Nothobranchius furzeri: one gene and its partners. The protein of the gene in region 1 binds, or shares a complex with, the protein of each later gene. Links are inferred from orthologs where the notes say so. Each region holds a gene or a part of one and is shown in the gene's direction. Other genes may lie near its edges.

Region 1 (3,753 bases):
TCGACCACTTGGAATGTGGAGATGGTTAGGGGGCTACCACACTGAGCATCTCTGCTCAACTCTACACCACACATGACTGCAGAAGAGTCACTTCAGCAGAAGGCTGTGGTTGAAAAGTCCCCTCTCCATCCTTGTCACCATTACCAGTGACCTACTGACAAGATGCATCTGTAGAGCAACAGGAAGTGACTGCAACTTGTGGTGAAGATGGCCAAGTCACTGGAGGCTCACTCAGACAACAGAACCAAATCTGACCAACATGACTGGCAGGTGGGTAGACACAGGGAAGAAAGACGGCGAGAGAGAGAGAAATACAGATTTTTTTATATTTATATACATATAAATATACATATATTGAGAGAGAGAGAGAGAGAGAGAGAGAGAGAGAGAGAGAGAGAGAGAGAGAGAGAGAGAGAGAGAGAGAGAGAGAGAGAGAGAGAGAGAGAATGACAGACATGAGAAAAGACAAACACTAAAACAGGCATTTACCTCTCGTGGCTTGTTGGGCATCTTTCCTACTTTTAGTTTCAGCTGGGGGGGTCCCTCCACCGTCCACTGCGGATTCTGGGGGAACTCCTGATCCGTCTGACGCCATTCCCAGTTCAGAAAGGCTCCTACGTCCCTGTTGGGCTTTGCCTTTTCCTTTACAATGAAACACGGAAGTTACTGATGAGCTAATAAAGTAAACACACATGCTGTAAATTCAACATTATACAATGTTAATTACATTTAAATCACAAATACAAACGTTTTAAGAAATGGTGTTTTATATTTATTAAAAGTACATTACCACACGGTCCTCTGTAGCTCCGTACTTTTTAGCACTCTAGAGAAACGCTGACCAACTCATTCGTAACCTTTACCCTCCTCGAACTTAACTCTGGGTAATGTAGTTTTATGTTGTCTTTCGACGAAACACGCTTCGTAAAGTCAAATGCTAGCAACACATTTTCCCATATGAAAACTATCTGCTCACAGACGACATTATTTTATTTTAAATAAATCATAAAATAGTAATTATGATTAAACTTAATCAACTCCGTGACGTACGTCATGATTTGTGTCCGAGCGCGTGACTCGAGGTCACGTGACTGTGCTGTTTGCTAACAACTCGAGACTGAGACGAGAAAGTGCTGAGAGGATTTATTCTCTTGAATTCGCGCGTTTTATACGAGACATGTAGACGAAATATTTGATTTAGCGTCACGCTTTTGTTGTTTATACATTTTTAACACAAACGAGTGAAGCAGCAGCGAGCTCCAGTCTAACTCTCAGTGCTAAAGGTGAGATCCTCTCGTTGCTGCTGGTTAAAATGGCTTAAACGGGTGTTAGCTTGTGAATAAAAACTATGTCATAAATTACGTTGATTAGATTCTCATAAACGCTTGATCCGTTTCTCAGATGAATGCTCTGGTAGCTTTGTGTCACTTCTGTGAGCTCCATGGCCCTCGGACACTATTCTGTACCGAGGCGCTACACCCTCCATCCCCAGACCCCTCCTCTCAGGTGGGCACCCCGGTTCCAGGGGACAGAGATGCTGATCGGGAGGGTGAAGGTCTGACCATGAGGGCCAGCGGGTCTGTGTCTCAAAGAGGGGAGATGTGTGAGGTGAGTGGGCATGCGTGATGGGATCTCACCCACAGTAAACCTTGGAGAAGGTTCATTCAATTCAGTTTATTTATAGTCACGACAACAGTCGTCTCAAGTCACTTCACATAGTAAACATTTCTATACAAAGGAACTCAGCAGATTGCAGTGCTCACACTAAGCAAGTGTGTAGCGACAGTGGAGTGGAAAACTCCCTTTTAGCCCCAGAAGAGCCAGGCTCAGTATGAGCAGCCACCCGCCACAACTCATTATGGTTTAAGAAGATAGAGCAGCAACATTATTTAATAATCCTGTAATCGAAGTTCTCCTTTTCCCTCCTGTCCATGCCTCACAGGGATGCCGATCTCTACCTGCGTCTCACCCAGGCTTCGTGAGCATCGATGATGAAACAGGAATTCGCTTTGTGAGCCATCAGCACCCCAGACAGTCTCAGCTTTTCAGTGTAGTTCGTCAGGCTTGTGTACGCAGTCTCAGCTGTGAGGTAAACTCTACCTGATCTAACTGAGGAGGACCTTTTCTAACCTCCCCTCCTCCAAAAACGCGAGTCTTTTTGTTGTTGGGTTTCAGGTGTGCCCTGGACGTGAAGGGCCGATCTTTTTCGGTGATGAACAACACGGGTTTGTGTTCTCACACACGTTCTTCATCAAGGACAGCCTGGCCCGTGGGTTTCAGCGCTGGTACAGTATAGTTGTAGTGGCCATGGACAGGATCTACCTCATCAACTCCTGGCCTTTCCTGTTACGACACCTCAAACTCACTATACAAAGTCTGCAAAGCACAGCTCTAAAGGTAGAGCCTAAATGTAGACTGTGCATTCATTTTTTTTTACTGGACAAACACTTTGTCATTTTAATAAGTCAGTTTGTGCTGTTTTGCCATCTTTTTGTCCATCAGGTGTTTGACACTGAACAGGGTATTTGTCCCCAGCGAGCTCTGAGGATGAACAGCGTGTTTTCTCCTGCGGTTTTTCCACATCAAAGAAGTGGCAACGCAGCCCGATCGCTAACTTCTCTCACTCAGCATCCCAATCTCTGGGCCAGCCTGCATTGCTCCTTCAGCTGGTGAGTTGAGATAGACTTTTAATAGCCAGCCATTGTGATTTCTCCACGTTACTTTTATGACTTACCAAGCTGATGTGTGTTTTCACTTCCTTTTTAGGTTACTGAAAGCCTGTGGTTGTCGTCTGACAGAAAAGCTCCTTGAAGGAGCCCCAACAGAGGACACGCTGGTTCTTCTTGAGAGAAAAACAGGTAGAAAGACATGATTTCATCAGACATTCACTGCTATGGCTAGTGTTTTTGTTTGTTCAACTAGTCAGCCTGAAATCCGTAAGAGTGAATCACAGAGTCGATCGGGAAAGGCATTTGATCCAGGAAAACATGACACACCACTTCACAGTTAAACCCCGGTTTGTCGAGATTTAGAAAGTGATTAAAAGACTTTTGGAGAATTTTTGGGGCTCGGCCCAGACACGACTGTGGAATGAACTTTGTTCATTGATAAAAAATAAAAATAAATGTCCAAACAAAAACCTTTTTTTTACATGATTCTAAATCATTTAATGGAAATGATCAATGTTTTCTTCAAAAACCACAGAGCAGCTTTGCAGTAGTCACAGCCTGGCAGCCCACAGACATTCCTGGGTGTCTCCTTCTAGCAGATTATCTAATGCGACCCCCCCCCCCCCCCCCCCCCATATACCCTATGGGCCAGCTGTTCCCAGATCAGCGCAACAGGGTTCTGGCACGCAGCAGAAAGAAACATGATATTTTCAAGTGATCTCAAATATTTGTCTGGTAATGTAGATGATAGCTAGCCTGGCCGGCCAGACTCGTCCTCTGTTTAATTCTGCACAAAGAGTCTGGTAACTCACAGGCGGAGAGGCACTTGAGGGGCGGGACTAGACAGCTCAAAAATAACCAATGAGAAAAAAGACGTACATGCCGACTGTACCATGCAACGCTGTAGTTAAAAAATGGCGTCTAGCAACGGCGCAGACATCTATTATTCTTTTAAAGTCAAAGTTAAAGTCCCATTAGTTGTCACACACACAGGTATGTGTGTGACATTTATTCTCCGCATTTGACCCATCCCCTGGGGGAGCGGTGAGCTGCAGACACAGCCGCGCTCGGGAACTATTTGGTG
Region 2 (3,753 bases), on another chromosome or scaffold:
GGTGAGGTGTCTGTGAAGTGTTCAGCAGTCTGATGGCCTGATGGAAAAAGCTGTCTCTCAGTCTGCTGGTTCTGGACCGGATGCTGCAGAACCTCCTTCCTGATGGAAGTAGTCTGAACAGTTTATGGCTGGGGTGACTTGAGTCCTTGATGATCCTCCCCGTTTTCCTCAGGCACCGCTTCTTATAGATGTCCTGGAGGGAGGGAAGCTCACCTCCAATAATCCTTTCTGCACACCGCACTACTCTCTGGAGAGCTTTGCGGTTGTAAGCGGTGCTGTTGCCATACCAGGTGGAGATGCATCCAGTGAGGATGCTCTCAATGGCACAGCAATAGAAGGTCCTGAGGATACGGTGGCTCATGCCAAATCTTTTCAGTCTTCTGAGAAAGAAGAGGCGCTGCTGTGCCTTCTTCACTGTATTTTCCGTGTGCACTGACCACGTAAGATCCTCTGCCAGGTGAACTCCAAGGAAACGGAAACTGCTCACCCTCTCCACAGCGTCGCCGTTGATGGTGATGGGGGGGTGTATTCCTCTGCTTCCTCTGCTCCTCCGGAAGTCCACTATCATCTCCTTTGTCTTTGTGACGTTGAGGGTGAGACTGTTGTCCTGACACCAGTGGGTCAGGGCGCTGATCTCCTCCCTGTAGGCCGTCTCATCGTGATTGGTGATGAGACCTATCACTGTGGTGTCGTTCGCATACTTCACAATGATGTTGGAGTTTCTCGTGGCCGTGCAGTCGTAGGTGTAGAGTGAGTACAGGAGAGGGCTCAGCACACACCCCTGCGGTGCACCAGTGTTCAGTGTGACGGGGGATGAGGTGGTGCCGCCCATAACATTATTATTATTATTATTATTATTGGAAAATTTAATAAAACTTGAAGGAAAATGCTAATTCTTTCTATCTATCTATCTATCTATCTATCTATCTATCTATCTATCTATCTATCTATCAATCTATCAATCTATCTATCTATCTATCTATCTATCATCTATCTATCTATCTATCTATCTATCTATCTATCTATCTATCTATCTATCTATCTATCTATCTATCTATCTATCTATCTATCTATCTATCTATCTATCTATCTATCTATCTATCAATCATCTATCTATCTATCTATGCCTATTTTGTTTATGTAATGTAAATGGAAAGATTTTGCGTTCTCTCTCTCTCTCTCTCTCTCTCTCTCTCTCTCTTTCTCTTTCGCGTCACACTTTTTGGTCCTCGTTGTGACTCGTAGCGCACGTGACGGTCAGCTGACTCTAACCGGAAACGTCGATGAAACTGTAAACAATTAAACCTTCTCTCTTTTCGTTTGTTAACGATGGAGTCGACTCTTGAACAGCATCTCGATGACACGTACGTTAAAAATCTCACTCTAACTGCTGACGTACTTCACTTTTTGTTTCATTAAAGCCTTTCTCCTTGTTTTTTTGTAGCATGAAGAATCCAGCAGTTGTCGGTGTGCTCTGCACAGATCACCAAGGACACAACCTGGGCTGTAAGATTAATTTAAAAAAGATTTACAGCAAAATGTATGAAACATATTCGGTTTAGTTAGCTTTTACAAGGCTACGTCAGTGTCGTGTTCTTTTTTTTTTGAATAATGAAATAACTTAGTTGCAGCAAAAGCTATTAATGTAACACACAAATAATATTATTTCCTTCAGTTTAGCTATTTTCATCTGTAAAGGTTGAAATACATACTACAGTATAGTTGAAGTTACTGTGAATCATACATTTCAACCATTAAAATCTCAACTTATTTCACATGCCAGAAAATCTTCACAGTGTTTGCACTGTTAGCATAATGAGATTAGCATTTCTGATGGAATGAGCTCTTCTGGCTGTTTAACAGGTCAACAGGAAGCTGCTGTAATTAAATTTAATCACAAAGGCTAATGAGGTATAATTAAAATTAAAATGTAATGTTTTTATAATTCTCTAAACACAACCAATCCAAAATGATGCTTATAATTGTTTATTGTTGATTATTACTCATAAACTAATAAATACTAAATGCTTAATAACCACGCAGTTAGTTAGTGAGGTCATTTATGAACATTATTCACATACAACAATTACTGTCATTGGGAAAGTGAATACTCCGTGGAATTGATTCTGTGTTACTTGTTTGGCTTCCATGGTTTAGTTTGAACTTTGATCTCTTCTACAATTCATCAAACTTCAGGGAGATGAACATGCTCTAAATTTTACTTAGGCTGTGAATTCAGAACATATCCAGTCCATTTTCATCAGCTGTGCAATGAAACACAAAGCAGAACAACTGATGATAATATAAAGTAATTATTTTACTTCCCAGAGGACTCCTGCAGCAGCTGACAGGTATCATGTGGTCTGAAGAATCACAGCTTGACGGTTGCTGGAGCATAGAACTTGCTGGAGGGGCTGTCTGCCCTCTAGCTGTCTTGATGGAGATGGAGAGTCACTGAGATCAGAGAAATCTGAGCTTCGCTCCTGGACCTGTTAGCAACCCAGACTTTGATAATTGGAAGAAAAATGATGGATATATCAGTATATATATTTTTTCTGTTCGGTTTAATTAATATTTATAACAGAGGCATCCAGCAAAGTCTAAGCTCTTTGTTAGCGTCCTCATACTTTTATTATCTTTTTAGGTCTTGTTGAAAGTTATTTTGAAAAGGTTATGATGTAACTGTTGGAAGTGGGTAAACATGAGTATTGTTTTGTGTAGTCAGTAGCAATGTTTCCCTGGTACATGGACAAACCTAAATGAAATAGTCAAAAGATGCAGAAGACAGAAACCAAACAATGAGTTCAACATGATTCAGATCCTCGAGAGACCCCAGAATTCAGAAATCCTCAGTCTGGACTAAATAACAGCAGTGGGACAGAAATGTTTGTAATATGTTAACAATCCTTCATAAGGAGGTCATTGTTGTATACAGGTTTGGAATTAACACAAATCACAGAAAATGACTGTTTGAAAGATGCACTGATTTCCTTTTTTTAAGACATTTAAATAATTCATTGCGTGTTTCTTTTCTTTTTTCTTTTAGGTCGTGGCTCCTTGTCTGATGAACATGGTGGTGTTGTGTCTGTTTTGTCCAAACAAGCTATGGCGCTCACCAGAGACCCAACAGTCACCCCGACCGTGTGCCTGGAGTCTGAGTCAGGGTGAGAGCACTGACCGGGTTTTAGCTTGACTTGTAATTCTTTTTAAAAATCTATCTCGGGGTATTTAAGATGTACCTTTGGGGGTTCTGATTAATGTGTACGGAGATCAATTACTCTAAAAAAAGCTTTTTGAGAGAGATCAGAACCAGAGACTCAGGGTTCTGAATCTGATCCAGTGGTTCACTGTCTCCCAGCAGCTATTAGCATCCGGGTCCGAGCCTTCATCGCGGTTGCTAAAACCAGTACGCTTATCTGGTTCCTCCAGTTTCTATTTACTTACCAAAGGCAATGCCATTTGTGACTTTGAACTGAACATGCTCGGTTCTTGGCATTAGATTCCAGAATGTTGTTCATTTCTTTCCCAAAAGGCAGCTGAGATATTTTCTTGAGACTCCAAGCCCTTTTTAATTTCCCCTAATAACCTCGTAGACATTTAAATAACCCCATCATCATTAAAAACGGGTCCAAAGTTGAACTACAGAATAAAAAATTAAAAAGCCAATGTCCTCTTTAGTGGACGGAGGCTCCATGGAGGATGGAGAGGGAGGAAGTCAACCAACTGTGGGATTTTATTTATGTCGTTGTGCTG
Region 3 (3,646 bases), about 16 Mb from region 1:
TCTCAGACGTCATGGAGCTCAGGTGTTATCAGAACTGTGTGTGTTCACCACCCAGCTTCAGCTCTTCTGTGGTTGGGTCTGACCCAAGTTAGTAAATGTAAGTCCTCCATCAGATCTGTGCCTCTTCTAGTGTCATTTTAAAGGATATTTATTTATTTATTTAACCGTTACTAGATTAGCAGCAACAGAAATGCTGCTAAAAACACACAATTATGTGAAGCTGGAAAAATTAGAATACTGTGCAAAATTACATTTATTTCTGTAATTTAACTAGACTGAGAGACCATTTAAAGGCTCGGGAACCTTTACAGGTGTTTCTATTTGCAATTTTAAATTTTAGCTGATTGGGGTCTTGTTAAATATCACACAGTGACCTTTTAATAGTCTAGATTAGTGTAATGTTCCTATTAGTAGTTCCTCCTGTTAAGTGCATATTTGTTTAAATTATTCAGGTTTATATAAAACATTTGGACATACATTTTATTATGTTCAGTCATTAGTCATTTATATTTTACTATTGTAGTAATTCTTGCATTCTTTAATGAAAAAAGTAACTAAGTAGTTACTTTTGTTGGTAATTAGTTACTTTTATGATCTTGTAACTCAGTTAGTAACTGAGTTACTTTTTTGACAAAGTAATCAGTAACTATAACTAATTACTTTTTTAAAGTAACGTTCCCAACACTGCTTATTATTACAATCATGTCTTCATATACAATACATGATATCCACAAGCACGTGAGGATGTGTTTCAGCTGCTAACAGGCACCAGAATTAAAATTGAAAATTAAACAAGTAACTCTAACGCGATATCTTCAGCCATCCTACACATGCAGGAAATTGTGTCCGACCTAAACGCCGGCTTTCAGCCACTCCCCCTGCTGCTTCCGTCTGCTCTCGTCTGTTTTCCAGGCGAGGCCATCAACTCGAGCACGGCCAATGAAAATCCTTTTTAGTTACGACCGCGAGACAACATTTCCCAAAGTGCAATGCGAAGGAAGCCGGAAATGCGGAAAGACAAGTCAGCTGACTGCCTGGACGCATTGCTCTTCACGTACATCAACATACTATCAAAATACTTCGTGTTTTTTTCTTATTATTATTAAAACCGTTTTTATTCTTTGGTGAGGTCGACAGCGATGTTGCGACCCAAAGCTCTGACGCAGGTCCTCAGCCAAGCGAACACAAACGGAGTCCAGAGCACTCTGTAAGTACGAGTTAGCGACAAGCTAACGAGATGCTAAGATGCTATTTACTCTGACTCTTAGCTGCTTATCGTTTTTTGTACAAGGAAAGCTCGCCCAAAGAAAAATAAGCGTTGTTTTTTGGGAACTCTTAATGCTTAAAAGACATAATTTTAGTTATTTGAATGTAAAACTTGCGCATTTAATGATTTTTATCGTAGCTGTTTTTATAATGTCACAGATTAGAACGCTGTTGCAACAGATCCTAACAAATACCTCGGTTTATAATGATCAATTTCAATGAGATGATTTATAAAATATTTCTAATTTACACATTAGTGTCTAAAATAGTCAACCTTTCTAAATGTTAATTGTATGATGAGGCATTAGCTGCACCATCTAAACATACATCAAGATTATTTCTAACAACACAGATAACTTATGAGTAGGCTGTCTTAGTATGTGTCACGTGTTTATCCTCTCAGCTTGCTGAATAATGAAGGTTCCCTCCTGGCTTACTCTGGTTATGGAGATACCGATGCACGCGTAACAGCTGCCATCGCCAGCAACATCTGGGCAGCTTACGACAAGAATGGCCACCAAGCCTTCAACGAAGACAAGCTTACCTTCATCCTCATGGACTGTATGGTGAGAAACACAGCTCCGATTCAGGCTAAAACATTAGGCTGACCTCAAATTGTAACCTTCTTCTGTGTATTTGTTTTTTTTTAAGGAGGGAAGAGTGGCCATCACTCGTGTAGCCAACCTGCTGCTGTGCATATATGCCAAAGAGACTGTGGGATTCGGGATGCTGAAAGCCAAGGTGAGAGTTCGGGGCCTTTTCTTCTAATTGTTTCCCACGTTTTGCTTTTTATTGGTAAAGATTTTATGTGTTGGAGCTCTTCTGTCAATTGAGTTTAAAGCATTATTTTACAACAGTTGTTTGGATGGCAAAGAAAACTGCTTTTAACTTTGCTTTTAACCCTTTCAACACTTTCTATTGACATATTCTGTTCACATATATTAAACGTAAGTCTTAACTAAAACGTTTTATACTTAAAGGGCTAAAATGTAAGGGCAGATCATTAAATAAACCATTGAATGTGCAAATCATTTGAAACTAATCATTTAAACACAGATTAAACCACTTTTAGTATTTCTGAGGAATGTGCTGAGTGGTTCTAGACTTCTGTTCCACTGTTTAAAACAGGAAGTCCTTTAGAGTGACCCAGGGAGGCACGTGGATGAGGTTCATCAGGTTTGTCCAGCTAGAGCAGCTCATGGAGAACCCAGCTAAATCTGAACTGAGGCTGAAGTTTCTGATCAGTTTAAAGGTCGTACCAGATTTAATCTTTTCCAGTAATTGTGCTTTATTGTGTTTGTAGGCAGAGGCTCTGGTTCAGTATCTGGAGGAACCGTTGACTCAAGTGGCCGCATCGTAGTGAAGATCCGACCAACGCTTCTGTTGGTCTGAACTGAAGAAGAAATCAGCTGTTCAGGTCATCGGTGGACTGCTGTAACCCTCCTGTCCAACACTAAGTGTACAAAGGGCCATGTCTCTAAATGGAGGGGTGTGTGTGTGTGTGTGTGTGTGTGTGTGTGTGTGTGTGTGTGTGTGTGTGTGTGTGTGTGTGTGTGTGTGTGTGTGTGTGTGTGTGTGTGTACAGCTGAAATGTGATTCCATTTTCAGTTTTCACTTGGAATCGGTCCATTCGGTCATAGTTTTGTTGTTCAATGTGAAACTGAACATTTTTAGGAGTCACAGATGTACATCATGATAAAAACGTGTGTGGAGATTTTATATGAATCTTTCTGAAAAATGCAGTTGAGATTGTTATTTACTTGTGTTTTATGTCAAGGTTGTTTGATAAATGAGAGATACTGGCTCAGAGTCACCCATTCTTTTAAATCCTGCTTTGAGCTGGTGACGGTTGGGTGTGTTTCACCCTCGTATACACCTCTGAACGTTTTTAAACAATTTTAAATATGCAGTATCAGGTGAGATAAACTTAAATTTGCTCTGAAAATCTTGTGAAAGGGAGAATTTGCGGGTTTAGAGAAGCTTACCTTGCTTGTCTTTGAGTTTCATCACCAGATAATTTTATTTCTTTCAGTAATCACAGATTTCACAAAAATCTGATGAAACTTTTCACTCTTTCAGTATCCAATACTTTAAAAACAAAACCTTTTTTAATAAGTCAGAAGATCTGGGTAACTTAAAAGCTAAGAAAACTCACGAGTGCATGTGCATTCTGTTTAACTCCATTTAATCAACTAATGAGTTTTAATTGATACCAGTTAGTGATTTTCTCTTGAGGCATTAGCATCAAATATACTTTCTCACCTGCAGCCAGATAAAGAAAGTCTCAGCTTTCAAAATAAAAATTTTAATCACCCAAACCTGGAGTTAAATGCCTATACAGTTTTGCAATAATCAAGTTGATTTTAAGTACCCTGAATAA

Evidence for each region.
Region 2: flcn (region 1) and lamtor5 share a complex: the UniProt entries of both Homo sapiens proteins name them as parts of the lysosomal folliculin complex. The link is inferred for Nothobranchius furzeri from reciprocal best matches to the Homo sapiens genes FLCN and LAMTOR5.
Region 3: flcn (region 1) and lamtor2 share a complex: the UniProt entries of both Homo sapiens proteins name them as parts of the lysosomal folliculin complex. The link is inferred for Nothobranchius furzeri from reciprocal best matches to the Homo sapiens genes FLCN and LAMTOR2.

The regions. Positions count from the first base shown.
Region 1 is NC_091745.1:76,768,802-76,772,554, reverse strand, and holds the start of flcn (folliculin), read left to right. Parts: upstream 1-1,076; 5' UTR 1,077-1,283; intron 1,284-1,401; coding exon 1,402-1,608; intron 1,609-1,942; coding exon 1,943-2,089; intron 2,090-2,175; coding exon 2,176-2,397; intron 2,398-2,502; coding exon 2,503-2,669; intron 2,670-2,766; coding exon 2,767-2,858; intron 2,859-3,753. Other genes in the region: leng9 (leukocyte receptor cluster member 9), read right to left, coding at 490-595. UniProt on the Homo sapiens protein: Multi-functional protein, involved in both the cellular response to amino acid availability and in the regulation of glycolysis.
Region 2 is NC_091755.1:27,982,376-27,986,128, forward strand, and holds the start of lamtor5 (ragulator complex protein LAMTOR5), read left to right. Parts: upstream 1-1,222; 5' UTR 1,223-1,329; coding exon 1,330-1,364; intron 1,365-1,444; coding exon 1,445-1,506; intron 1,507-3,046; coding exon 3,047-3,164; intron 3,165-3,753. UniProt on the Homo sapiens protein: As part of the Ragulator complex it is involved in amino acid sensing and activation of mTORC1, a signaling complex promoting cell growth in response to growth factors, energy levels, and amino acids.
Region 3 is NC_091745.1:61,225,341-61,228,986, reverse strand, and holds lamtor2 (ragulator complex protein LAMTOR2), read left to right. Parts: upstream 1-922; 5' UTR 923-1,139; coding exon 1,140-1,207; intron 1,208-1,669; coding exon 1,670-1,832; intron 1,833-1,917; coding exon 1,918-2,007; intron 2,008-2,569; coding exon 2,570-2,626; 3' UTR 2,627-3,068; downstream 3,069-3,646. UniProt on the Homo sapiens protein: As part of the Ragulator complex it is involved in amino acid sensing and activation of mTORC1, a signaling complex promoting cell growth in response to growth factors, energy levels, and amino acids.